Rattus norvegicus: one gene and its partners. The protein of the gene in region 5 interacts with the protein of the main gene of each other region in a pairwise test. Links are inferred from orthologs where the notes say so. Each region holds a gene or a part of one and is shown on either strand. Other genes may lie near its edges. The genes, in order: Raf1, Egfr, Gigyf1, Gigyf2, Grb10 and Igf1r.

Region 1 (4,045 bases), on a different chromosome or scaffold from region 5:
AACTAAAGCTGTGGTTACACAACACTGTAAATGTACTAAATGTCAAGAGATGTTTACTTATAAATGGTTACTTAAAAAACTTGTATGTGTATTTGTAAATGCGGTTTGCAGGTTGAGCACGTAGCACTGGGTTCGAATCAAGGTCAGAGGATGACTTTCAGGAGTCTGTTCTCTCTTCCATCATGGCACCACCAGGTTTTACTCTGCAAACTTTTTACTGAGTCACCTTGCAGATACCAAATGGCTACTTTGAAAATACACAGAGGTAGAATGGGAGTCTGAGGTCAACCTCCAATTAAGAGGGAATCTGGCACATATCTTTAATTCCAGCACTCAGGAGGCAGAAACAGACCAATCTCTTTGGGTTCGAGGTCAGCCTGGTTTACAAAGTGAGTTCCAGGACAGACAGGGCTGTTAAACAAAGAAACCCTGTCTCGAAAAACCACAAATAAACAAAGAGATAAAAAAAATTGAGAACCTATTTCAAAGAGGGATTAAAAAAAAAAAAAGCACGTTGACAATGTCACATTGTCCTTTAGGTGTCTATTCCACTGGGGTTGTACGAAGGCTCACAACAGGCTTCAGTTTTCCGTGGGCCATATTGGCGCATCAATTTTATTTTTTTCTCCATCTTTATTAAATTGGGTATTACAGGGTCTCATGCAGCTCAGCATGGCTGTGAACTCCTGATCCTCTTGCCTTTACTTTCCAAGCGCTGGGATTACAGGTGTGCAACACCATACTTTTAGTTTTTGGTCAATCTGGTGTACTACAGTGAACCCTCGATCTGCAATACAAATGTGGAACCTGAGGTTTAATATAGTATGAGAGCTTTCCCGCAAAACCCGTAAGCCGCCATTCTCCATGGATGTCAACTTCGGAAGGAAGCACCAAAGCTGGGCCCTGGGCTGTGTGTCATCTGGCGCGTCTGGTCCTCGGAGGGCCTCGCGGGTGGCCGGACCGAGGCTGCAGCCCACTGCCGCTGGCCTCCGACCAGAAGCAGTCACTGTACCTCCACAGGTTGAGCCCCGAAATGGCGGCCACAGTACCGCGAGGGCCACGCCTCCAGAGGCGGGGCCAGATTCCAGGCCCGAGCGATAGATCCCCGAGCCAAGTTTTAAGCGGACAGCCGAGCTCAGGAGCTCGCGCAGAGGCAGTGAGTCCGCGGCGCCGCAGGTCGCCAAGACGAGTGTCGAGCGCAGGGCTAGCTCGCCGCCGCAGCCTGAGAGCGTCTTCATCGCGGGTGCTTGTTCCGCCATCTTAGATGGCGGGAGTTAGAACGGAGCGAGCTTGAAGCAGGAAGGCTTCTCTGCCGTTCTCCGCAGGCCCTCAGACGGGCCAGCTGGCCGAGCTTTGGGGCGCGTGCCCTGAGGCGCGGGGCGCTAGTGCAGCGATGCGGGGCCTTCCTGGGGCCCCGTCCCCCGGGCTGGGGACACGCCGAATGTAACCGCAACCCGTTCTCTCAACCACCGCTGTCGCTGCACTACGGGACCCGGTGCTGCCCGGCTCCCTCAGGTAGGCCGCAGGGCTGACGGTGCGGCCGCGGGGCGCAGGGTCCGCCAGGCCGCTGTCATCCTGGTGGCGGGTCGGGCGAGGGCTGGGTGTCATGGCCGGCGAGCCAGTTTCCACACCCCTGCTCAGATTTCCCAGTGTTTCTCGGAAATGTGCCAGCGCCACTCCGGTGCCCAGCGAGCATTCCTCATATTTTGGCAATGGGGAAAAAAAATCCTCCTAGAGCTGCCCAGTGTCTGGGTTGTCACTGGGATGGGCTCATTCTTTTTCTCTCGGGCCGCAGAAGTGGGGGGAGCCCGGCCTTGCACCTCCTCTCGGGCTGCTTCGCTTAAGTGACACCCTTTTAGGGAAGACGAGAAGAATCAGGGACGGCAGCGAGAAACGGGTCAGTGCCCCGTCACAAAGACGTGGGACCTCGCCCGGAGCTTCCAAATGGGAGGCCGGGGATGCTCGAGATTGGGAGCTGGACTGCCTTTTGTGTGAAGCGACAGCCTCCTAGGCTCTGCAGAGCCAGTGAAGGATGCAGAGTTGGGACACCACGGGAGGCGAGGTGGCCGTGTTCATTCATTGTTCTCTCTTTAGGGCCCAGGGTGTGCCTCTGGTTTTCATTCTTTGTTTGGAGGGACAGTCGGATCTCTTCTTTCCGGGTTGAGACGTGACCGGGTCTTGGGGAATGGGGCAGGTCTGTGTATAGAAGTGGGGAATGAATTCAGGGCACGTATGGATGCCTGCATTGCGTCCTGTGGGGTCTGTGGAGACTTAGCTCCCGGGGCGTGAAAACAATGCGCGGTGATAAGGCTTGTTTTCCCAAGTGTTCTTGGGATTTAGAACAGTTAGGTGCAGAATAGAGAAACCCAGAGGTTCCTTGCTTGCTTCTGCGCGGAGTTTGGAAGGACTGTTCGCTAGGTGAGGTAGCGGGGAGGACATTGTCAGCGGGGGAACAAACAGCTGGCACCAAGGCACAGGGGCGTAGCCTGCGGGAGTTAGGATGATTTTGGGGAGCAGTTAGTAAATATGGGGTGCAGGTAGGCGGACGGCAGGGTCTAAGAGGAAAATTGATAGTTGCGAAGGGTCTGTGTGATGGATAGTGAACTAGTTCGTTTGTTAATTAACTTCATGTTGTGAATTTTTAGTTCTTGCGGGTTGCTGCTTTGCTCCCCTCCCGCTATGGTAGTGAACAAGATTTACCTTGTTAAGTCTAGCTAACCAGTTTTGGTAATTGATAGGAAATGTTTAGTGCTTTTTCACTGGTTCCTCTTCAGAGATACTCTTGCAGCTTTTTCTAAGGTTATACCTGCCTTCAAAAATACTGAGGTCATAAACATATTCTTTACTAACTCCTGAGTTTTAAATCGCTGCTGACCACGTAAAAACACGTTCCCCAAACGTATAGAATTCGGCAGATTATAGAAAACACCTGGAAAAGTGTAGCATGAAAGTATTTTTTAATGAATCCTATTTATGTAGTAGACTTTTCTTTAGACTGAGTTCCCAGGTTGCAGCTTTGTTAAGTCTCCAGCCCCATGAACATTTTATTTTGTTATTCTAATAAAATAGCTAATTTGATTAAGGCTTATGCTGAAGTGGCTATTTAGAAGTGAAGAGACATCAGGGGCAGTTTCCAAATCTTTGGTATTGTGAACCACTGAAAAACACTGAGGTTCTTTTGATTTGTTTTTACTCTTATCACTTCAAGGGCTAAGTAAGCTGTTTAAAATCCAGCAGCAACATTTGACCTAGCTGAGACTGGATACTTGGAAAAATAAACCTGCTGATGTTTCTGTTCGAAGGCTTATCTTCAGGTCTGCAAGGCTGGGATTGTGCCCTGAAGTGGGATCAGGCAGCTTTGTTAAGGTCTTGTCAGTAGTTGAAAGGATCTTGTATGCCTGTGAAGTAGAGGCTTGACTGAAAGGCTTTTGAATGCATTTTAAGGGATTTGGCCCAGTAGTAAAAAGACTGAGAACCTTTCACTTATGACAAAAAGTATCCAAAAATTAAGAATGACACTGCATTACAGCTGCTCTGAACCCACTTGGTTTTGGCTTCAAGTCAATTTTCTCTGATGATTAAACTACTTGACAGTTTTAGGAAGTTAATTTGATATTTGCAGAAGCACTAAGTATTTTTAATGGAAATACAATGACTAACTTCAAATTGCTCTTTTAGAAAGTCTATTAGTGAATGTTTGATTATTTAATATTAAAATTCAGACAAAACTTCTTTACCTACCTGCTACCTAAAACCATGAGAGAATGCTTTGGCTTGCCCGTTAGCAACATGCCCCAATGTTGACTTGCAGATCAGAATTTAAATATTGTCTCTGAAAGACAGTGAACAAATATAACAGTGAGAGGGTTTATGAAACCATACAAATCAGGCTTCAACTTAAAATGTTGTTTTATTTTTCTAAAGTTGAAACTAGACCATAAAAAATCAGGGTCTCCCACTCTTGAAAAATCAGAAATGTTGGGTTCTGTTTTTCTTTCTTTCTTTTCTTTCTTTTTTTCTTCTGTTGGCTGGATCTCCCTGTTTA
Region 2 (3,928 bases), about 4.7 Mb from region 5:
ACTGGTTAACAAGGACTCCTGCTAACCAGGAGACCCACCCAAGGCGTCTAAATTAGGGGACCAGGTGATTTTGTGAAGAACTCGGAAATTCTGGATTGAATGGGAGCAGGGGACATTTCTCAGATGGCTAAGAAGCAGTGACATTAGTTGGTCTTTGCTTAAGGAATTTAGTTGCCGGTCGGTCTTGCAGTTCAGAGACACATTTCTACTGGCCAATTTCTAGGTGAACTTACCTGGCAATTTGCCTCCTGGTGTGTGTCAGGGCTAGCTTGGGTCACTGGAGGCTGCTAACTGCTCTAAAGATATGTCCACTGTTGTTTGTGTTAAGTCTTTGCGTTGAGCGAAGGAATTTGCCTGATGTGTACTCTGCTTTGCTTTTCAAGCCCTCCTGGCTGGTTCCAGGTGCAGAAAATGCCGTGGTTTTGCTCGTCAACATGCATGCACTCACCCAGCAAACATACTGAGGCCTTTCTCTGTGCCAGGAGTTGGCTACCCTTCTTTCAAAAGACATGGAGGGTTCTCGATGGGATCTGAAGAACCCTCAGACTTCTGAGTGCCACTTCAGACGTGCCGCTCCCACCTCTGCCCGAGCGGTTGGGAACTCTGCGGCCAAGTCAGTCTGACCTGCTGAGATCCCGCGGTCCAGAAGTTATGGAGAATAAGTGAACAGTGTCCCCATCTGTATTATTTCCAACCTGTGCTCTACGGTAGGACAGTAACCGAGGTGGTCTAGAGTTGTTCTCTATTTTTCTTGGAAGAAAGAAAAGAAGTAAGAAGTTGGGAGACACAGAGGAAAAGAGGGGACACTGACATAGATTTGACTGGGCTTCCTAGGTCCTGAAATGCAGCGCAGTGGAGTCCCCACTCAGAAATTAATCCCAAAGGCCACCCACTGCCCCTCTGCACGCAGCCAGGACTCTCTTCCAGAGCCTTGTCTAGTGGTGGCCAAGGCCATCCACCACCACCTTCCGGCCACTGCCTGCTTTCGATCCTCGCGGCGAGCGCTTCCTCTCTCCTGCCATTCTCCTCCTCCTAGTTTCTCTGGATCCCTCCTCCTCCACTTAGTCCCTCCTCCTCCCGCCCAACCTCCCCCACGTCCCGACCAGGGCTAGCTAGACGCCTGGACAGCCCCAGCGCAACGCTCAGCAGCCTCCCTCTTCTTCCCGCACTGTGCGCTCTTCCTGGGCTCGAGCGTCTGGAGCCAGTCCCGGAGGCTACCGCCACCAAGACAGGCGACGGGTCACCTGGACGCGAGTCTGAGTCCGGGTCCCGTCGTCGTTGCCGACGCAGTCACCGGGCACGACCGTGGGACTCAGTCTGACTCGGATTAATCCCGGAGAGCCAGAGCCAACGACTGCCGAGCCGGGATGCGACCCTCAGGGACTGCGAGAACCAAGCTACTGCTGCTGCTGGCTGCGCTCTGCGCCGCAGGTGGGGCGCTGGAGGAAAAGAAAGGTAAGGGCGTGTCCCACCGGCCCGCGCCCCCTTCGAGCGCGCTCGCCCAGTCCCAACCTCCGCTCTGGACTCCGCGTCCCCAGCTGCCCGCCCCTCCTCTTCTAACTCCCAAAGCGGCCGGGACCTTAGGAGGAACTGGACATTTAATGTCTGGAATGGACGAGACTGGGGCGGCTGAAGGAAGGGAGACCGGGCTTGGGGCAGAGGGGCTGCCAGAGCAGCGTGGGAGCCGAGGCTGTGCGCTCCGGAGCTCTCGGCTGCTGCCAACTTAGTTGCCTCACTTTTCTGCGCTCAGTAGGCGTTTGGAGTAGAAACGTGGTGGGGACAGCGCGGGACGCCGGGCATTGGCGCACGTGCGCCCAGTACTGTCAGGGAGAGCGGAGGGACCCCGGATCCGCAAGTGGGACCGGCATGTCCTACCCTCTCAGCCCGGGAGTTGAGGGACTGGAGTAAGAACCAACGCGCCTCTGACCAAGGTCGGGACCTCAGAGACGCGCGGTTTCCTGAGCGCACCCTCAACGCCTCTCTTCTCCGCCAGGGTTCTCTCGGGACCTGGTAGCCTGAGTCCCAATGTGGCTTGCAGATTTCTGCGTGCTCTTTCGCGGGTGTGTAGCTGCAGCAAATGTGGGAGATATCTCTGTCACTAACCACCTGGGACCTCTGAGAAAAGATGGTGGTGGTGACTTGCTTCTTCGCTAGGAACAAAATAAAAATAAAAGGGAGGGCGTGGGGTGGGGAGGTGGCGGGGGTGGGGGGTGGCGGGGGTGGGATGGGTCGATCCCGCCTCTTGGGCATAGAGCAAGCCAGAGACCTGCCAAGCTAGGTGCACTGGTTGGGGACCAAGGCTCCCTGCCAGATTTGAGCTAGTCTGGTGTGGTGGCTGCTTCCCCGGGATCCCTGAATTTGCCCCTTCTCAGAAGCCTGGGCTTCTGCAGCATCTCTTGGAGTTGCAATGGTATGGCTGACCTGTGACAGCTGGGTCCTTGTGTGTAGTTTATCCTTGGTGTTTCAAAATGAGGCCAGGTAGCAAACTCTCTTACTTGTTATCTGAGAAGCTCCCTCTTGGGCTTCTTTTTCTTTTCTTTCCTTTTTACTCCCTCCTTTTTGGAGTGATTGATATTGGGCCAACTAAAATAGAACCCCTAATTATAAAGAAACAGATTGATGTCCGTGGATCACATGTGCCAACTGCCCAGACTGAACACGAACAAGTCTGGCTTCATGACTACCCGACCATAAACCCACTTGACACGAGAAACATGCCTCAGAAGGTTTAATTGCACAATTCAAAATCCAGCCGCTCGGGTTCCAGGAGTCAGGTCTGCACTTGCTGTTGATGTCATCGGCATCCGAGTTGGACTTGGGGGTTGGTGCTCAGTGCACTTTAGTCGGAGGGGGTGTAAGGCTCAGTTCCCCAAACTTAGCTCCACAATGAAATCATTCGGGTTTAAAAATCAACAAGCAAAACAAACTACACCCCTCCTCCAGGGTTCAGCAGCCACTCCAGACGTTCAGATTTCACAGGTCTACCTTGAGAGGATTTTTAAAACTCTTATAGCGTTTGATTTGAGACTCACTGGCATAAACGAGAAATTGATAACATCTAAGGCTACCACGATGCTCCCCACTAGCAGGAGTCTGGGAAATCTTGCAGTACAGAAAAAAGCCTGGGTGAAGTGAGTAGACCGGGGCTTGCTTTGTTCACAGATGGGATCATTGTGAAGCTTTTCTCCTACCTTCCTCAGCTGAAGGAAGTCATGGCATCTGTGCCTGCCCGTGGGACTCCCTCCCCTAGTTTTCAGTTTGTCCCATTAGAGACCCCGTAGAGCACCACTTGTCTCACCTCAGCCCTGTGGTTCCCTGTTAACCGCTTTGAACACTGTTAGTGGTTGCAGATTTGTTTCTGGTGAGATAAAAAAAAATGCCGCTTCATTTGTCTGTCTGTACGGTATTCACTTAAAACCAAATGCTTCTGGGTAGAGCAGTAAAGGTGGCAAACCAAGTATTCATCTGTTCAAGTAACATAAAAGGCTCAGTTCTAAAGGCCAGAGTGTTGAAAACTTGAGACACCCTTTCTACAGCACGCTGATAAAGGATTTGTTTGTTTAACTGACCAGTTTTGTCCCAGGCTGGCTCCCATAAGTGAGGTAGGGGTTATCCTTCCCTCCAATCTGTGGTACCATCTATACTTGTCCTCAGAGCAGAAGGCAGTCAGACACTGCTTTACATGTATGTATTGTCAGTCCTTACACTGCATGTAGTGAGCGGCGGCTCTCATCATCTCTTTGAGGGAACGTATGCACAGAGAAGCGTAGTGATTTTTGCCCATAGCTAGTACAAAACGGTGCCAAGACTGACTCAAGTTCCTTTCACCCCCAAACCACTTCCTTACTGTAGGAGGGCCAGGCTAGGTTAGGTATATAAATGACCCAGTTTTGATGCTAGAAGGATAAGGACCAGGAAACATGCATTT
Region 3 (3,218 bases), on a different chromosome or scaffold from region 5:
AGGTAGAGGAGGGCAGGCCACAAGAGAACGGTATCCTGAGGACCAGTGGTTTGTTTCTCAGAGGTGGGGACCAGAACCTGCTCCCGACAATGAGCCGGTCCTTGTCGGTGCCAGATTCAGGCCCCCTCTGGGACTTACATACCTCAGCTTCATCACAGTCAGGTGAGTGGCCACCCTGCCCCAGTCCACCTCTTGTTCCCTTGTCTCCTCAAGTCTTTGCTGCTGCCCCCACTCTTGTCTGGCCTGCCCCACAGTGGCCCAGCCTCAGACACCCAGAGGGGCAGTGCCCACGCGCGCACAAGCTGCTGCAAAGGGCAGGAAGTCAGGGGGCTCTAAAATGGGACCCTGGACACCTAGGCAGGGAGGCTCATTTGGGGGCAGCTTCCTATCTGGGTGGGCCTGCTGGGCCTGGGTCTCTGCAGTTGCCCTTTCTTTCCTGCCTGCCACAGGTGGTGAGGCCAGTCTTTGGGACATACCAATTAACTCTTCGACTCAGGGTCCAATTCTAGAACAACTCCAGCTGCAACACAAAGTAAGTAGTAGCAGGCTGACCTGGCAAAGGCTGGCTGAGGCAGGGGCAGCCTCCCTGTTGCTTACGTCCCTGTCACCTCAGTTTCAAGAACGCAGAGAAGTGGAGCTCAGGGTGAAGCGGGAGGAGGAGGAGCGCAAACGCCGGGAGGAGAAGCGTCGCCAGCAGCAGCAGCAGGAGGAGCAGAAGCGGCGTCAGGAGGAGGAGGAGCTCTTTCGACGCAAGCAGGTTCAAGTCCTACCTGTCTCCTGGGCCTAGGCTGGGGCTGGAGCCAGTGGGCCACCCTCACCCACTGTCCCCACGCAGGTGCGGCAGCAGGAACTGTTGCTGAAGCTGCTACAGCAGCAGCAGGCGACGAATGTCCCTGTGCCCCCTGCACCCAGCTCCCCACCCCCACTCTGGGCTGGCCTAGCCAAGCAGGGCCTGTCCATGAAGACTCTGCTGGAGCTGCAGATGGAAAGTGAGCGCCAACTGCACAAGCAGCCGGCACCACGGGAGCCTCTGCGGGCCCAGGCCCCCAACCACCGAGTGGTGAGCACCTGCCCCAGGGAGCCCCTCTGCTGCAGCTCCAGGAGCACTGTGGTTGGGGGGAGGTGTCCCTGAGCTCAGACGCCTAGAGCTGAAGACCTCTTCCTTCCTTTCATTATTGGAAGGATGGCCCCTCTCCTAGTCTTCACCTCATCCCTCCCATTAGCCCCCAAATGAGCCTCCCTGCCTAGGTGTCCAGGGTCCCATTTTAGAGCCCCCTGACTTCCTGCCGTTTACAGCAACTTGGGGGCTTGGGCACTGCCCCTCTGAACCAGTGGGTGTCTGAGGCTGGGCCACTGTGGGGCGGGCCAGACAAGAGTGGGGGCAGCAGCAGTGGCAACCTGGGACTCTGGGAAGACACTCTCAAGAGTGGCGGGAGCCTGGCCCGAAGCCTGGGCCTAAAGAACAGTCGGAGCAGCCCGTCTCTCAGGTTGGTGAGACACCTGCTTAGCCCAGTTTGTCGGGGAATAAGGGATGCTAAGGTCTGGGCTCATCTGTGGCCTCCAATTCCCCACCTGCCTCAGTGACTCCTACAGCCACCTGTCAGGTCGACCTGTTCGCAAAAAGACCGAAGAGGAAGAGAAGTTGCTGAAGCTGCTACAGGGCATCCCTCGGCCCCAGGATGGCTTCACCCAATGGTGTGAGCAGATGCTGCACACTCTGAGCACCACAAGCAGCCTGGATGGTATGAGGTGCTCCTTGGCGGCCATGTTGGCACTAGGGACTCTAGACCTGTCCAGTACGCCTGACTGTCCCTTCTCCATAGTTCCCATGGCTGTAGCGATCCTCAAGGAGGTGGAGTCCCCTTATGATGTCCATGATTATATTCGTTCCTGCCTGGGGGACACGCTGGAAGCCAAAGAATTTGCCAAACAATTCCTGGAGCGGAGGGCCAAGCAGAAAGCCAGCCAACAGCGGCAGCAGCAACAGCAGCAGCAGCAGCAGCAGCAACAGCAGCAGCAGGTAGAGTCTCGTGGGACGTGGGAAGGCAGGACACCCCGGACTCTCCTGACTGTTCTCTCGTGCCTCAGGAGGCCTGGCTGAGCAGCAGCTCCCTACAGACAGCCTTTCAGGCCAACCACAGCACCAAACTGGGCCCTGGGGAGGGCAGCAAGGCCAAGAGGCGGGCGCTGATGCTTCACTCTGACCCCAGCATCTTGGGTAAGTGTCGGGTGGGACTGGGAAGCTGTACTTTCCCTGCACAGGTCAACAGGACCTGGTGAGCTCACCCTCACTCTCCCGGCTTCAGGGTACTCCCTGCACGGCCCTTCCGGTGAGATCGAGAGCGTGGATGACTACTGACCAGCCTGTCCCACCAGCCCCCTGGGCTCTACACTCGGGTGGCGGCAGCATAGACCTTTGGGTCTCCGGCCTGCAGGCTCCCAGCAAGGAGCAGAGGAGGAAGCAAGCGGGGCAGGGTCCCCAGCACTTGTTACAAACCACACGATGCACCTTAACTCACCCACCACGAGGCACTTTACAGATGGGGGAGGGGCTTTTTTTTCTCTTTAATTTTAAACCTTAGGAGAGACAAAAGTATCATTCAAAAGCTAGACGGTAGGCCCCTTCACCCCTTTGGGGATAATGGGTGTGACATTGGAAGGTCCACAGAGGTTTGGGGGTTCTTTTTGTTTTGTTTTGTTTTTATTTTTTATTTTTAGAAAAAAAGAAAAAATAATGAAAAAAAAGTTAGGCTGAAAGGAAAAAAAATCACACTGTTATTTTCGGCCAGTGGGTACCAGGCCCCATGGAACTGTCCTGGCTGGCTCCCCTGAGGCTGCACTTACTCTGCTGCCTGCCCCTAGAAGGTGGGTCATTGGGGTAACTGTCAGCTGGGTGCTGGCAGTCTGCACAGCGAGGCCCCTCCAGAAGCCCCACCCGCTGGACCAGCTGTGGTCCGCTTCCTGGGGCAGGTACCGTGGCAGGTGTCCTGGTCAGGGGCCATAGTCGCCCCTTGCCTCAGCTGCTTTGGGAGGAACGTTGCACAAATTGGATGAGCTGCCTCAGCTCCCTCTTCCCCAAGCCCCCTCAACAGCCCTCCCACACCGGCTGAGGGGAGCTGGGGAAAGACCTGTCAGTGCCAGCCTGTCAGGTAGGCTCTGAACTCAGGCCTGCTGAGGGGCTGCCCCCCACTGCTGCCATTCCGGGGGACAGCCGGGGT
Region 4 (4,202 bases), on a different chromosome or scaffold from region 5:
AATAACCTGAAGGACTTTGCTTAAGAGGTCAAAGCCTTATTTTGACTCACAGTTCAAGAGTACGGCCCGCCAAGGCGGGGAAGTCATGATGGCAGGAGGTTGAGGGGGCCGGCACATTGAGTCCGAGGTCAGGAAGTAGGATACAATGGATGCTCTGAATGCTTCTGTGCAGCTTGTTTTCTCCTTCCTATTCACGCCAGAATCCTAGCTCATGGAATGGTGTTTCCCCTTTTACCCACATAAATGAAGGTAATCTAGATAATCTCTCATAAATTTGCTCAGATATTTGTTTCCGTGGAGAATCCAAACCCCATCAAGTTGACAGTCAAGATTAATGATCACTCTCTAAATTTAATGCTCTTTTGTATAATTTGACTTTGAAAGGGAATCAAGACTTAGGAAGGGAGGCAGCCGAAGAAGTAGGTGTGTATATATGCTTCTGAGTGTTGAATTCAGGGCTCTCAACATGCTAGGTTGGGAGTCTTCCACTGTGTTCTGAAACTTAAGTTTTCAACATTTCCTTTTAAGATAAAGACATTTGGGTATATTTGAAAAAAAAGTTGATGGGAAGAACTGTGATAAAAGGGCTGTGATAAAAGGGCTGTTTTGCAGTGGTTGTGCGAAACCCTGAGTTGATTCCAAACACCAAAGGTGGTAGAAAGGCAGAAGACTAATGGCCCCAGAAAGACCCGACTTGAAATGGTAGGTGGACCAGGGTTAGCAAATTGAAGTATATAGTATGCCCAGCTAAATATGAGTTCCAGAAAGACAGCAGATACTTTGTCTTTTGAATTGCTGGGTTTCCTATTCATTATCTAGCAATCCTAAAACGGGAAGTCAGTATATATATAAAGGGGGTTGTAGGTCCGCATGTTGTGGGAGGGAGTAGGAACTTTAAAATCCTTCGCAGATGTCACTCCAGAATGAATTCCCACTCCTAACAGAAAGGACACTGCTTTGAATTTCAGCCTCACCATTTGCCCCTTGATGGACAAACTGTCAGGAAAACGCTAGACCAAAAGCTGTGGAAAAGTTCTAGCTTGGAAAACCAGCTCATAAGTGATGTGGAGATTTTTGTACTGCAAACGGGCACTGGATTGGGTGCCTCGGATAGTGAGTCATAGGGCCTCTGGCCAGGCTCCAATTAGGGACACCAGCTTAACTCTAGGGCCTTAGGAGATGCAGCCAAAGGCTCCACTGTGCGCCTGCGCTACTCCTGCCCCGCCCTCTCCCAGCCCTGCATCCGGGTCTCAGAAAGGGGCGTGTCCGAGTGGAGGGGGCGGGCCGTAGAGGAAGGGAAAGATGTCGTGGGAAGCTGGAGGGAGTGAGGCGGGGATGTAGGCGGGCCGAGGGGGCGGGTCGGCGCGCGGGGTCACGTGACGTGCGTGGCGACGTGTCGGCCATCTTGTGTTGTTGAGGCTGAGGATTGACTTGGGTTCTGAGAGACTCCTGTCCCGGACCGCAGGTAACCAGTGGCTCGGTGTGTCTCCCCTGTCCGCGGCCATCCCGCGCCCAGTCCCCGCCATAGCTCCCCGAGCTGCCGTGGCCTGGCGCCCACCGTCGCTTCCCCGCCGCTCCGGCCCGAGCCGGCCGCATGGACACACTCAGGCTGCCCGGCAGCGGCCGCGGCCGGATGGGGGCGTCAGACATGGGGACAGGGCAGGTGCGGGGTCCGCAGGAACCTCCTCCCTTGCGAGGGCCGTGGCCGGCCCGGGAGCTTCCCAGCTGAGCGCAGCCCCTTGCTTTCGCCCCCGTGGCATCGCGGGGGAAGCTGAGAGGAGGCGGGAGGCGGGGTGGGCAGTGTCAGGCCGGAGGGCTCGCCTTCCGCTGCCCGCTCCTCGGGGCCGGTCGCCCGCGCAGCCTCGGGGTCCTCCGGCTAACAGCTGCTGCGAGCCGACAGCTGCTCTTGCCGGCGCTCCTGCCCGCACCTGCCCGGGGGAGGTGCGCCCTTGCCGTCTCCACCGAGCATCTGGACTGGGGAAGACTGCTACCACGGCTGGAGGACTGGTCTGGAGCAGGCCCCAGGCGAGGTGGAGTCATGATCTGATCCTGGGACTGAGAGGCTTGGGAAAGTAGAGCCCGGGGCGGCTCCGGGGACCCGAATGTTCACACGGGCTTGAAATGGGCAAGCAGTTTCCCACGAAGCACTCTTGAACACTTGAGTTTTGTAGCTGAAATATCAATCAATCAATCCGGCAAGGAAGGGGAGGGTGTGAAAGAAGCAGGTTGTGTGACCGCGTTTGGGAGGCAGTAAGGTTGCTTTGCGTTTATCTAGTACTGTCTCCCGTCACCTCCCGTTTTCTTGAAAGTCAAAGCACTTAAACACATCCAGTGGCTCTATTAGGAAGGTAAGTACTCCAACATAACTTAAGAAATTAAGGGACTCGAATCAGTGATGGACTCGAATCAGTGATGGCTTCCCACCTAGTACCATATACCTTGGATTATAGAAAGTTATGGTTCAGGTACTGTAGTTTTCCTTATGTAGTTTCTCCTCTTTGGTAACAGATGACTTCCTAGATTATAAAGACGATTATCATACTTTTTGTACATGAGTTTTCATCCTCCTTTGTGGCTCTGACTGGCAGACTTTTTCTTTTTTGGTTAGAACACATACTTTGTCCTCATTTAATGATGCTTTCCTAGTGTAGCAGCTTTTGGATTGCTTGAACTGGAATATGTACTTCATTGTCACGTTAGAAGACACTAGAAAAACATTTAGAAGTGAGTGACATGTGTCAGGAAAAAAATACCAACATTGAGGGGCTAACAAAGATGATGTTAGTGATTTGCTAGAAAGGAAAAGACCATACCTTTTTTAGTACTTGACGAAGGTTTTTCCTGGCTGGGGAAGAAGACACTGTGCACTATCTGCTGCCATTCTTTTATTTTGGACTACAGGTACTACAGTGGTGTATGCTGAGGAACAAACATTTCTGTTTTTGTCGAGCTCACTTAATACTTAAGTAAAAATATACAAATACTTCTTGATGTAATGATGGGGCTATGTCCCTTAAACTGATTGAAAGTTGAAATCTGTAAGCTGAACATGCATTTAAAGATATCAGTCTGCTGCCCATTAATAACAGCAAAGCCTCCTATAGAATCTTGATTCTTTCCCCCTTATAATTGCATGGTTAGATTTTATGTGATTTTGTGATTCTCTGGTCCTAGCCAGCAATGCCAGGGAATATTGCACTGCATATTGCCAACTCAGGAAGCAATCATAATTCGAAATGTGAAGAATGATTTCTATGAGTCCATATTGTTTTTACCTCATAGTAATGTGCAAGCTCTTGTTAAGTCAGACATTTCTGTGCAGGGACCATCTGTTTAGGAGTAGTGAGGATGAAAGAGATAGGAAGACAGGAAGGGTTAATTTTTCAATTTAGTCTTGTGAGGAGACTTTACAGGTAAGATAAAATTTGAGGGAATACCTGATAGGTAGAGGGCAGGGTGCTTCACCAAGAGGCAGAAAAGGGCAAAGATCCTGAGACAAGAAGATAAAACTTAGGTGGGACCCATCAAGGGCTTGCTGGGAAGAGCACTGAGGCTATCTAGTCTGGAAAGACTGCAAGAAACGGATTGCAGTGTATCTACACAACTCTTTGGCAGGAAAATGAGGTGGGTCATTCAGTGCACTGGAGTCTTCAGAGGAGTCCATGTGCGTGTAATTCAGGCTGACCCAAACTTGCTCTTCTCTTGCCTCAGCCTCCCAAGTGTCTGAGATCTATGGAAAAGTCTTAGGAAAATCAGATTCTATAGACTTGAGTCACGATCCCTCCTTCCCATTCATTTGGGAAACTCAGGATGCTCATCTATATCAGGAATTATAATGAGTTACTTAAAAATAAGTTTGTAGGTGTGATTGCTGTTAGACTGCCTGGAAATACTTTTTAAAAAGGAATGACTTTTTGTTTGTTTGGTTTTGTTTTTTGATTTTTTTCAGACAAGGCTTGATGTAGCCTTGGCTGTCTTGGAACTTGTTCTAGACCAGGCTGGCCTCGAACTCCTGCCTCTGCCTCCTGAGTGCAGTGATTAAAGATGTTTGCCAACACTGCCAAGCAAGAAGTGGCTTTTTTTTCCCCCCAGAGCTGGGGACCAAACCCAGGGACTTGCGCTTGCTAGGCAAGCGCTCTACCACTGAGCTAAATCCCCAGCCCCAAGAAGTGGCTTTTAAAGAAGGTTATCTATCCCAACCT
Region 5 (3,500 bases):
GCTAGCTTAGCAGTCACTGGTTACCTGAAACCACAGTGGGGCCCAGTTTCCCCTGCCTCTTTCCCCAGGCACCAAGCCCTCCCCTCTGTGTACGTGCAGTATGTGTGCAGCTCCCCCGGCCTCTCCCAGGCAGCTGCTGTTAGGGAGCAGAGCTGTACAGACCACAGCGTTGGTCTTGGCTAGGAAGCTCCCCACAGGGTCCCTGTGCCTCCGCAGATTCTTTGGAAAGCACACTTTTTGATTTAGAGCTAGCCACTGCATTCTTACTGGGGTGGCTGCTACCTCTCTGCTTTACTGTTTTTGAAATGGTGAAAATATTTTATTCTATAAAGCAACCACCTACAGGTTATTGGGTCGTTGAGTTCTGTTCTAAGTTTGTTTATAATATTTTCTCTGAGTAAAGCCCCTGATGGAATTCGCTGATGTGTTTTTGGACGAGAAAGTCTGTTTAAAATGAATGAACTTAAGCCTGGCTGTTTTCTTAAACCATGCATCAGTTTTTAGTCAATGTATGTGGTTGTTCGCATGCGTCTTGAGGAAATATAACCCTTGTATAAACACAAGCGTTCATGTGTTCCAGGGAGAATTCTCCCAGATAGAAATAAATGGAAACTATTCTAGGTTTGCCTCAAGCCTGGCTTTTCATGCCCTGTGACAGTTGTAGCTGCCAACGGGGACAGATTCTGCTTTTAAATATGTTTCTGCCAAGATGTCCCCTTCTTGCAGTATCAAAATGGAGGCTAAAGCTACTTCTGCCCAACTGCTCTTGGTAATGGGAGCAGTGCCCCATAGCCACAGTTCTCCTTTGTGAACAGAAATTCTTTCTCCCAATTCTGAGACCCTTTAAAGTGTCTTTTCCTAACCGTCTCCCTTCCTTCGAAGGTGAGATTTTTCTAGAGATTCAGCCATGGCTGCATGAGAGGCAGACAGTGGGGACTCAGGATAGAGCGCCTATGTTCACTTAAACTGTGAATGCCTGGCTGGCATCAGGTCACATGTGTAGCCTGGGGTGGACTTGTCAATAGTTTATCCTGTTGTTTGATGTGGTTAGTTCTGTGTCACTACCACCTCCACTATGGCTTTTCAGGAGCTTTGTGGGAGGACCTCTGATCTCCATTCCACAGAGAAAAGCACAGCTCGTCCAAACATGGTATTCGTGTCAGCAGGGAGCAGGCTGGACCCTTCCTTCATGCTCTCTTTACTGTAAAAGCAGAGGTTCAGAGAAGGGACTAAGCAGCCATTCTAGATCATAACGTAGGGTGTTCTGAGAGGAGTGAGTCATCTACCTAGTGAAGGCAAGAGGCAAACAGTCCAGCTGGAGCCTTCATCCCATGGCATGACCAGTGCTAACTAGCTAGGTATGAATGAGGAGTACATCCCACTGCTTGGTATCCACTGGTCTCCCAGTCTTACCACCTGTATGCCCTGTGGTCCTACCTGCCCTGCCTCCTGCTGTCTATGCCTATGTTCCTTTGCCTATAGTTTTGTAATATAAGAGTAGAAATCATTTGTGACTCTCTCATTAATGTTGTGTCAAGAAATCCCTGTAGGTACTAACCCAAACTTTGTGTTTTAGTGAATTTTCAGACCTCTTTTAGATACCTGTCAGAGAATTAGAGAGTTAAATTTAGTGTTCCTGACAGACTCCTCATCTCAGGACTTAAAAACAGCTTTTGACCTTGTGAGATTGCACTGAAGTCTCGTCACATCTTACATGTGATGCTTCTCCCTACAGAGAGGTGCCTGGAGGACCATGAGATCGTGGTCCAAGTGGAGAGCACCATGCCAAGTGAGAGTAAATTCTTATTCAGAAAGAACTATGCCAAGTACGAGTTCTTTAAGAACCCTGTGGTAAGTTTCCTGAAATCTTGGAATTTATACTTGGGTTGAATAAAACCTGATTATCAGATGATGAGCTGAGACTTACTGGGTACGTGGGTTTAGGAAGTGGGACACTATTTAATTAAACAGAATGAGGACTGTCATCTGCAATACAAGTGGGTCATGATCATACGTGGAGAAGTTTTACTATTGTCAGACATGCGTCCCTAATACCCTTGCTTCTCCCTGTCTCTCAGAACTTCTTTCCGGATCAGATGGTCACCTGGTGCCAGCAGTCCAACGGTGGCCAGGCCCAGCTTCTGCAGGTATTAAGCAAAATTCTTATTGCATTCATTCTTGCCGGAAGTTTGAAATAAGGAGCAGACTCCTGAAATCCTCCATCTTCTAAGGAAAGTAGCAACCTTATATCTACACTATAGTGGGAGCCATTTGCTTCTTTCTATGTCAACACCTACACAGAATTCTACACAATATCAGTTGGGATTTTAAGAAGTTTTAAGGAAGAAAATTTTGCCTAACCTTCCCCAAATATTTTAATGATTCCGAAAATGTCACCTATATGTAGTAATAAGATACGTGCTTTAATTGTTTTATGTGCATACCGCCTAATTGTAAAAGTGTATTCCTTCGCAGAATTTCCTGAACTCCAGCAGCTGCCCTGAGATCCAGGGGTTCTTGCAGGTGAAGGAGGTGGGACGCAAGTCTTGGAAGAAGCTGTATGTGTGCCTGCGCAGATCTGGCCTTTATTACTCCACCAAGGGGACTTCAAAGGTAAGTTTTAGAACTCCCCACCGCTCCCTGTACTAGGTGTTCTTGCTGTGGACTTGGGCTTAATTTTAAAAAAATCCTGAACCTCTTTTATGCTAGTGTTAACTAATTAATAAGCAATTTATATAAAACGGTACACGCAGGGACCCAGTGTATTGGTCTGTCAGAAATTGGATGGCATCACACACAGCAGCTCCTGTCCTCTAGGATGGTCGGCCCTGGATTCGATGGTCAACCCGCCTGTGGGTTGAACGCAGACCTTCCTGACTGACTCGGTCCACGCAAGGGTGCATTTAGTTTCCAGAATTTAGAATCTAGATCCAACCTGGCCATAGGATACGTGCTGGGTTGTTGTCCTGTATTCATAAAGCAAACTATGGTTTTCACTCTACTGGAGCAAATTTTAAGAATTGCATAGTTCGTGTGAGACAACCCGAGTCTGTTCTAGCAGAGCTGGTGTCTGAGCTCGTGCTGTTCAGATTCCACATCTTCTTTCAGTTCTGTGTGTGTGACCAGGGGAAAGGTGAGCTTTTAGCACTATAGATTTTTTTTCCAGAAACTGTGACCAGTTAACTTGACTGCTGTTTTGCAGGAACCCAGACACCTGCAGCTGCTGGCTGACCTCGAAGAAAGCAGCATCTTCTACCTGATTGCCGGAAAGAAGCAGTACAACGCACCCAATGAACACGGGATGTGCATCAAGGTACTCCATGGATGCAGTCCATGGGCTGGGGCTGGGAGCCGTGCAAAGGAGTTTTTCTCCTGGCCGGTATTTATTTGGTTGTGGATCCTTCTGCTCTAAACAGAAACTTTTTCTTTCCCTTTACACTGTCCTCATTGTGTGCTTAGGATGTGATGTTTTTCTTTTGTAATAGCCCGGGAGCTTGGGG
Region 6 (3,994 bases), on a different chromosome or scaffold from region 5:
GGGTTTCTGCAGTGGCCACCGATCCTTGGTGACGGCTACACATTCTTAAGATTGGGACCTGAGCCAGACGACGTTGTCCGGGTTAGGGTCCCCGTCCGCAATCCCCATCCTGGGAACCCCCCGGACACGCCCCCCAGCTGCGGGTTCCCGCAGCCCGACACGCGCTGCGGTCCTTCTCCGCAGCTGCCCACGTGGTGGAGCACCGACCAGCACGATGCGGTGGAGCGCCCTCAGGGCGGGAGAGGAATGGGGCTGGGAGGCCCCGCCAGCACGACCCAGCCGAGTCGGTCCCCGACTCGGGGCCCCCACATTTCCTCCCCGGGAGGGAGGGAGGCGACATTCCCCGGGCCAGCCCTCCCGGGCTGCCGCCGCGCCCTCTGGCGGCCGCCGCGGAGACGCGTCTTGGGCACGAGGGGCCGCCTGTCTGGGTCCCCTTTCCAGGGCTCGGGACCCGCGGTGGAATCGCGGTGCTTCGAGAACAGAGGCATGCGGACCGCACCCTGTCCGCTCTCTGTCAGCGCGTAAGCACCGGAATACCCAAGGAGCACCGCCACGGGCGCCCAAGCTTGGGGTGGAAAGTGCCTTGCGTAGCAGCAGTCTCTTCAGGGGTCCCCTTTCCCCCAGGTGTGCCCCTCCCGCCGCGTCCGGGCTTTCCACCACGCTGCGAAAAAATGCCGCATGCATGCACTTATTTATTTATTTTGCAACAGCTGCAAGAAACAATGAAGCTTTTTCACAGAGCGGGCCAGCGCGCTCACCAGCCGCGCTGTTGTTGTTTTCAATGAAGCTCCGGGGCCGCACTCCCCGCCCACCGCGCCCGCAGCCCGCCCGCCCTGCCGCCGCCCCCTTGGCCACCGAGTCCCGCCGGCGCCCGGGGCATTGTTTTTTAGAGTCCTGCGGGTGGGGAGGGTGCGGACAGGGCCGGCCGGCGCAGTGCGGGTGGGGGCGGAAGCGTGGGCGCGCGCGTGGCTCAGTGTGCGCGCGGGGGCCGGCGCGGGTGGAGGCGCGGGGGGCGGTGCCTCCTGGGCCCGGCTCCCCACGCCCGCGCTCCGCTCCACACGTCCCTGCGATCCCGAACTCCGGCTCTTGGCGACTGCCGAATCGGGGCCCGGCCCTCGGCGCGCCGGGACTGCGGCTGTAGCCGCTTGGAGTGTGCGCGCGGGCACGTGTGCGCGGCCCCGAGAGCGCGCGCGTAGAGCCCCCAGTGTGTGGCGGCGGCGGCGCGGTGAGGCTGAGGTTCTTGTTTACCAGCATTAACTCCGCTGAGCGGAAAAAAAGGAGGAGGGGGAACCGAGGAGGAGCGAGCGCACCGGGCGAACTCGAGAGAGGCGAGCGACAGGGAAGCCGCCAGCGAGCCTATCCCGGCGCGCCCGGCGCTCGCAGACCCTCGGCCCCGCTCCTTGGACCCTCCACGCCTCTCCCGTGCCTGCAAGAGCTCCACGGCACGCGGCGTGCTCGGCTTTGACCTTCAGCGAGCCGGAGCCCCCGCGCACGGAGTCGGCGGCGGGCGGGGGCCGACGCGGGGCGGCGGGAGCGCTGAGCGCTGCGCGGCCGCCGCTTTGTGTGTCCTGGATTTGGATTTGGGAAGGAGCTCGCGGCGGCGGCGCTGAGGGAGGAGGCGGCGGCGAGCGGAGCCCAGAGGAGGAGGAGGAGCCGGAGGAGGGGGAACCGCTCATTCATTTCCACTCAGCATTTCTGCCCCTCGCCGGCCTCGCCCGCGCCCGGGACTTCGGACCAGTCTCGCCAACTGCGTCGGGCTCTCCCGCCGCGTAGGCTCGGGTGGTCGTTCCCTCCGGGAATCGGGGGCGTTTGTCCCCGCCTGCGGCGATTTGGGCTTTGCTCCTCTTTCTGTACAGTTTTCCTCCCTCTTCTGCATCTCTGGGTTTGCAAATGGAGGCCGACGACACCGACAGCCCGCCCCGGCGCGCCCCGGCTTCCCTACTCCGCCGCCCCGTGGGCCGCTGCTGCCGGCGCTGAGGGGCCGCCCCGCGCCACCCTCCCTGTCCACGCCGCTTTCCGAGGATCTTCGCTCTTGTTTTTGGACGAGAGTGAGGACTGAGTTGAAGACTTTTTTCTTTTTTTTTTCTTTTCTTTTCTTTTCTTTTCTTTTTTTTTTTGAGAAAAGGGAATTTTGTCCCAAATAAAAGGAATGAAGTCTGGCTCCGGAGGAGGGTCCCCGACCTCGCTGTGGGGGCTCGTGTTTCTCTCCGCCGCGCTCTCGCTCTGGCCGACGAGTGGAGAAAGTGAGTATTTGCCCGCCGCCCGCGGCCACTGCGGGAACTTTTCCTCCGAGGGGCTGCGCCCTGTTTGGGAAAACCCAGTTGCCACGGGCGCAGCTGTCGGACTCCGGGGCTCGGGAGCGGAGGGTGGGGCTCTCCCGGAAGGCCAGAGCGGATCGGGGCCCGAGTTCACGGTTCAGGAGCTCCAAGAGCCTGAGTTCAGCGCATCTGCGCGCGGGAAGGGCCTCGGGGCTTTCTCTTTCGCTGTCCCAGGAGCGCTGTCCCGCACGCGGCCTGGTGGGTGGGCAGTGCCTCCTCCCTAGCGGGTCAGGGGCAGCCTACTCCTGGGCACTTGGTGGGGAAGTTGGCATCTGGGTGTCTCCGGGAGCCCCGCTGCCCTCGTCTCCCCCCTCCGGGGCGCGCCACTTGGCACCCCAGCGCCCATCCAGCGCTGCGCACCATGACAGCACCCTTGGAGGCTCCACGGGTGTGTCCTAGGGTAGACCGACCTAGTACTTCGTGTTGGCCAGCCAGAGCCTTCTGCCCCGCGGGGTGCAAGTTGTCCTTGAGGGGGAGGTACGGGATGGGGAAGCCTCGCGGCCCCAGGACACGTTTCCAAACATCACGGCGCGGCCTTATATCACCCAACTTGTTGGGCCCATCGGGCCCCTCTGGTTCTTGGCCTTTCGCATCTCTGGAACCTGTAGGTGTCTAGTCCCCACCTCTCCCAAGACTTGGTAACTTGGGCTTCCCGGTGTGGCCTTGGGGTGCGGGGTGTGCTCCCCAGCTTCCCCTAAGGAAGTGTGAGCTTAAAACTTTCATCAGACGCCTGTGTGTGTGTGTTGGGGGGGGGGGGGCTTGGATGATACCCAGCTTAGAGGTTCCTTGGGCTCTCAGTTTCTACCTCGCTCTGGACACTTTTCCCCAGAAGTGTCTTAGTAAGAGGAGTTAGAGACATCCACCCATGTGCAGAGTCGACGTGCATTTCCACACACACGTGCTCTCCGCGCGGATTTAGGTGCATCCACAGCCATACGACCACGAGGTGACAACTGGACTGGCAAGAGATGTGCGGTGGCTTGAGCTGCGACAGGATCTGTAGTATGGTAGTGGACGGGTGGTTGTTTTGTTTTGTGAACGCGGAGCCCTGGCCTTGGTTTTGTTGTGCCCAAAGTTGTGTTGCATTGCCAACCCCCCCCCCCCCCCCCCCCCCCCCCGCCCCGCACTTCCTTTGTACATACTTAATAAGCAGTATCGCTCCATGCTCGCTATCGCTTGCAATCTGATAGCTTTTGTTTTGGTGGTGTCGGGTAGGAGTAGGTGGTGGTGGTGGGGTGTCTCTGGGAATGAGAACTCTCCACAGTGTATGGGGGCAGCAGGAGGAGGAGGGGGTTTTGTTCTCGAGAAAAACAGTGGCATACTGGTACTTCAGAGATGGTAGAGTAATTTGAACGCGATTAAAACTTTAAATGCAGTCTCTTGAGTTGGGGCTGGGGAAGTGAGGGCGTGCGGATGAGTAATGTTTGCAGAATGTATGCAGGTGGTGCCTATTAACTTCGAAAAAATCACGACCTAGCCTTGAGGAGTTAGCAAGGGGGAAACGATGGAGGCTGCGCGGGCCGTGCGGCCCCACCACTGCCGTAGTTCACAAAGGCTGTTTCTATAAACAAACCCTGAGCCTCTTTTAAGAAATATCTACGATGGAGTCCGAGCAGGTCTTTAAAGAACTGTAGCTGTAGTAAGCCTAGTGTAAGGCGCAGACTAGGGCCGACCCC

What was found.
Region 1: the proteins of Grb10 (region 5) and Raf1 interact in a two-hybrid assay, tested with the Homo sapiens proteins (2 studies listed by BioGRID). The link is inferred for Rattus norvegicus from reciprocal best matches to the Homo sapiens genes GRB10 and RAF1.
Region 2: the proteins of Grb10 (region 5) and Egfr interact in binary tests that used the Homo sapiens proteins (3 or more experiments, as listed by UniProt). The link is inferred for Rattus norvegicus from reciprocal best matches to the Homo sapiens genes GRB10 and EGFR.
Region 3: the proteins of Grb10 (region 5) and Gigyf1 interact in a two-hybrid assay, tested with the Homo sapiens proteins (2 studies listed by BioGRID). The link is inferred for Rattus norvegicus from reciprocal best matches to the Homo sapiens genes GRB10 and GIGYF1.
Region 4: the proteins of Grb10 (region 5) and Gigyf2 interact in a two-hybrid assay, tested with the Homo sapiens proteins (2 studies listed by BioGRID). The link is inferred for Rattus norvegicus from reciprocal best matches to the Homo sapiens genes GRB10 and GIGYF2.
Region 6: the proteins of Grb10 (region 5) and Igf1r interact in a two-hybrid assay, tested with the Homo sapiens proteins (4 studies listed by BioGRID and IntAct). The link is inferred for Rattus norvegicus from reciprocal best matches to the Homo sapiens genes GRB10 and IGF1R.

Annotation. Positions count from the first base shown.
Region 1 is NC_086022.1:150,410,014-150,414,058, reverse strand, and holds the start of Raf1 (RAF proto-oncogene serine/threonine-protein kinase), read left to right. Parts: upstream 1-1,245; 5' UTR 1,246-1,515; intron 1,516-1,759; exon of another isoform or gene 1,760-2,062; intron 2,063-4,045. UniProt on the Homo sapiens protein: Serine/threonine-protein kinase that acts as a regulatory link between the membrane-associated Ras GTPases and the MAPK/ERK cascade, and this critical regulatory link functions as a switch determining cell fate decisions including proliferation, differentiation, apoptosis, survival and oncogenic transformation.
Region 2 is NC_086032.1:95,377,498-95,381,425, forward strand, and holds the start of Egfr (epidermal growth factor receptor isoform 1 precursor), read left to right. Parts: upstream 1-1,128; 5' UTR 1,129-1,367; coding exon 1,368-1,455; intron 1,456-3,928. UniProt on the Homo sapiens protein: Receptor tyrosine kinase binding ligands of the EGF family and activating several signaling cascades to convert extracellular cues into appropriate cellular responses.
Region 3 is NC_086030.1:24,802,365-24,805,582, reverse strand, and holds the end of Gigyf1 (GRB10-interacting GYF protein 1), read left to right. Parts: intron 1-61; coding exon 62-162; intron 163-449; coding exon 450-532; intron 533-613; coding exon 614-757; intron 758-835; coding exon 836-1,060; intron 1,061-1,296; coding exon 1,297-1,487; intron 1,488-1,581; coding exon 1,582-1,742; intron 1,743-1,823; coding exon 1,824-2,020; intron 2,021-2,088; coding exon 2,089-2,218; intron 2,219-2,306; coding exon 2,307-2,359; 3' UTR 2,360-2,718; downstream 2,719-3,218. UniProt on the Homo sapiens protein: May act cooperatively with GRB10 to regulate tyrosine kinase receptor signaling. May increase IGF1 receptor phosphorylation under IGF1 stimulation as well as phosphorylation of IRS1 and SHC1.
Region 4 is NC_086027.1:95,447,777-95,451,978, forward strand, and holds the start of Gigyf2 (GRB10 interacting GYF protein 2), read left to right. Parts: upstream 1-1,402; 5' UTR 1,403-1,465; intron 1,466-1,824; exon of another isoform or gene 1,825-2,030; intron 2,031-4,202. UniProt on the Homo sapiens protein: Key component of the 4EHP-GYF2 complex, a multiprotein complex that acts as a repressor of translation initiation. In the 4EHP-GYF2 complex, acts as a factor that bridges EIF4E2 to ZFP36/TTP, linking translation repression with mRNA decay.
Region 5 is NC_086032.1:90,722,388-90,725,887, reverse strand, and holds part of Grb10 (growth factor receptor-bound protein 10), read left to right. Parts: intron 1-1,735; coding exon 1,736-1,851; intron 1,852-2,078; coding exon 2,079-2,147; intron 2,148-2,475; coding exon 2,476-2,613; intron 2,614-3,202; coding exon 3,203-3,313; intron 3,314-3,500.
Region 6 is NC_086019.1:130,958,803-130,962,796, forward strand, and holds the start of Igf1r (insulin-like growth factor 1 receptor isoform 1 precursor), read left to right. Parts: upstream 1-1,194; 5' UTR 1,195-2,149; coding exon 2,150-2,243; intron 2,244-3,994. UniProt on the Homo sapiens protein: Receptor tyrosine kinase which mediates actions of insulin-like growth factor 1 (IGF1). Binds IGF1 with high affinity and IGF2 and insulin (INS) with a lower affinity. The activated IGF1R is involved in cell growth and survival control.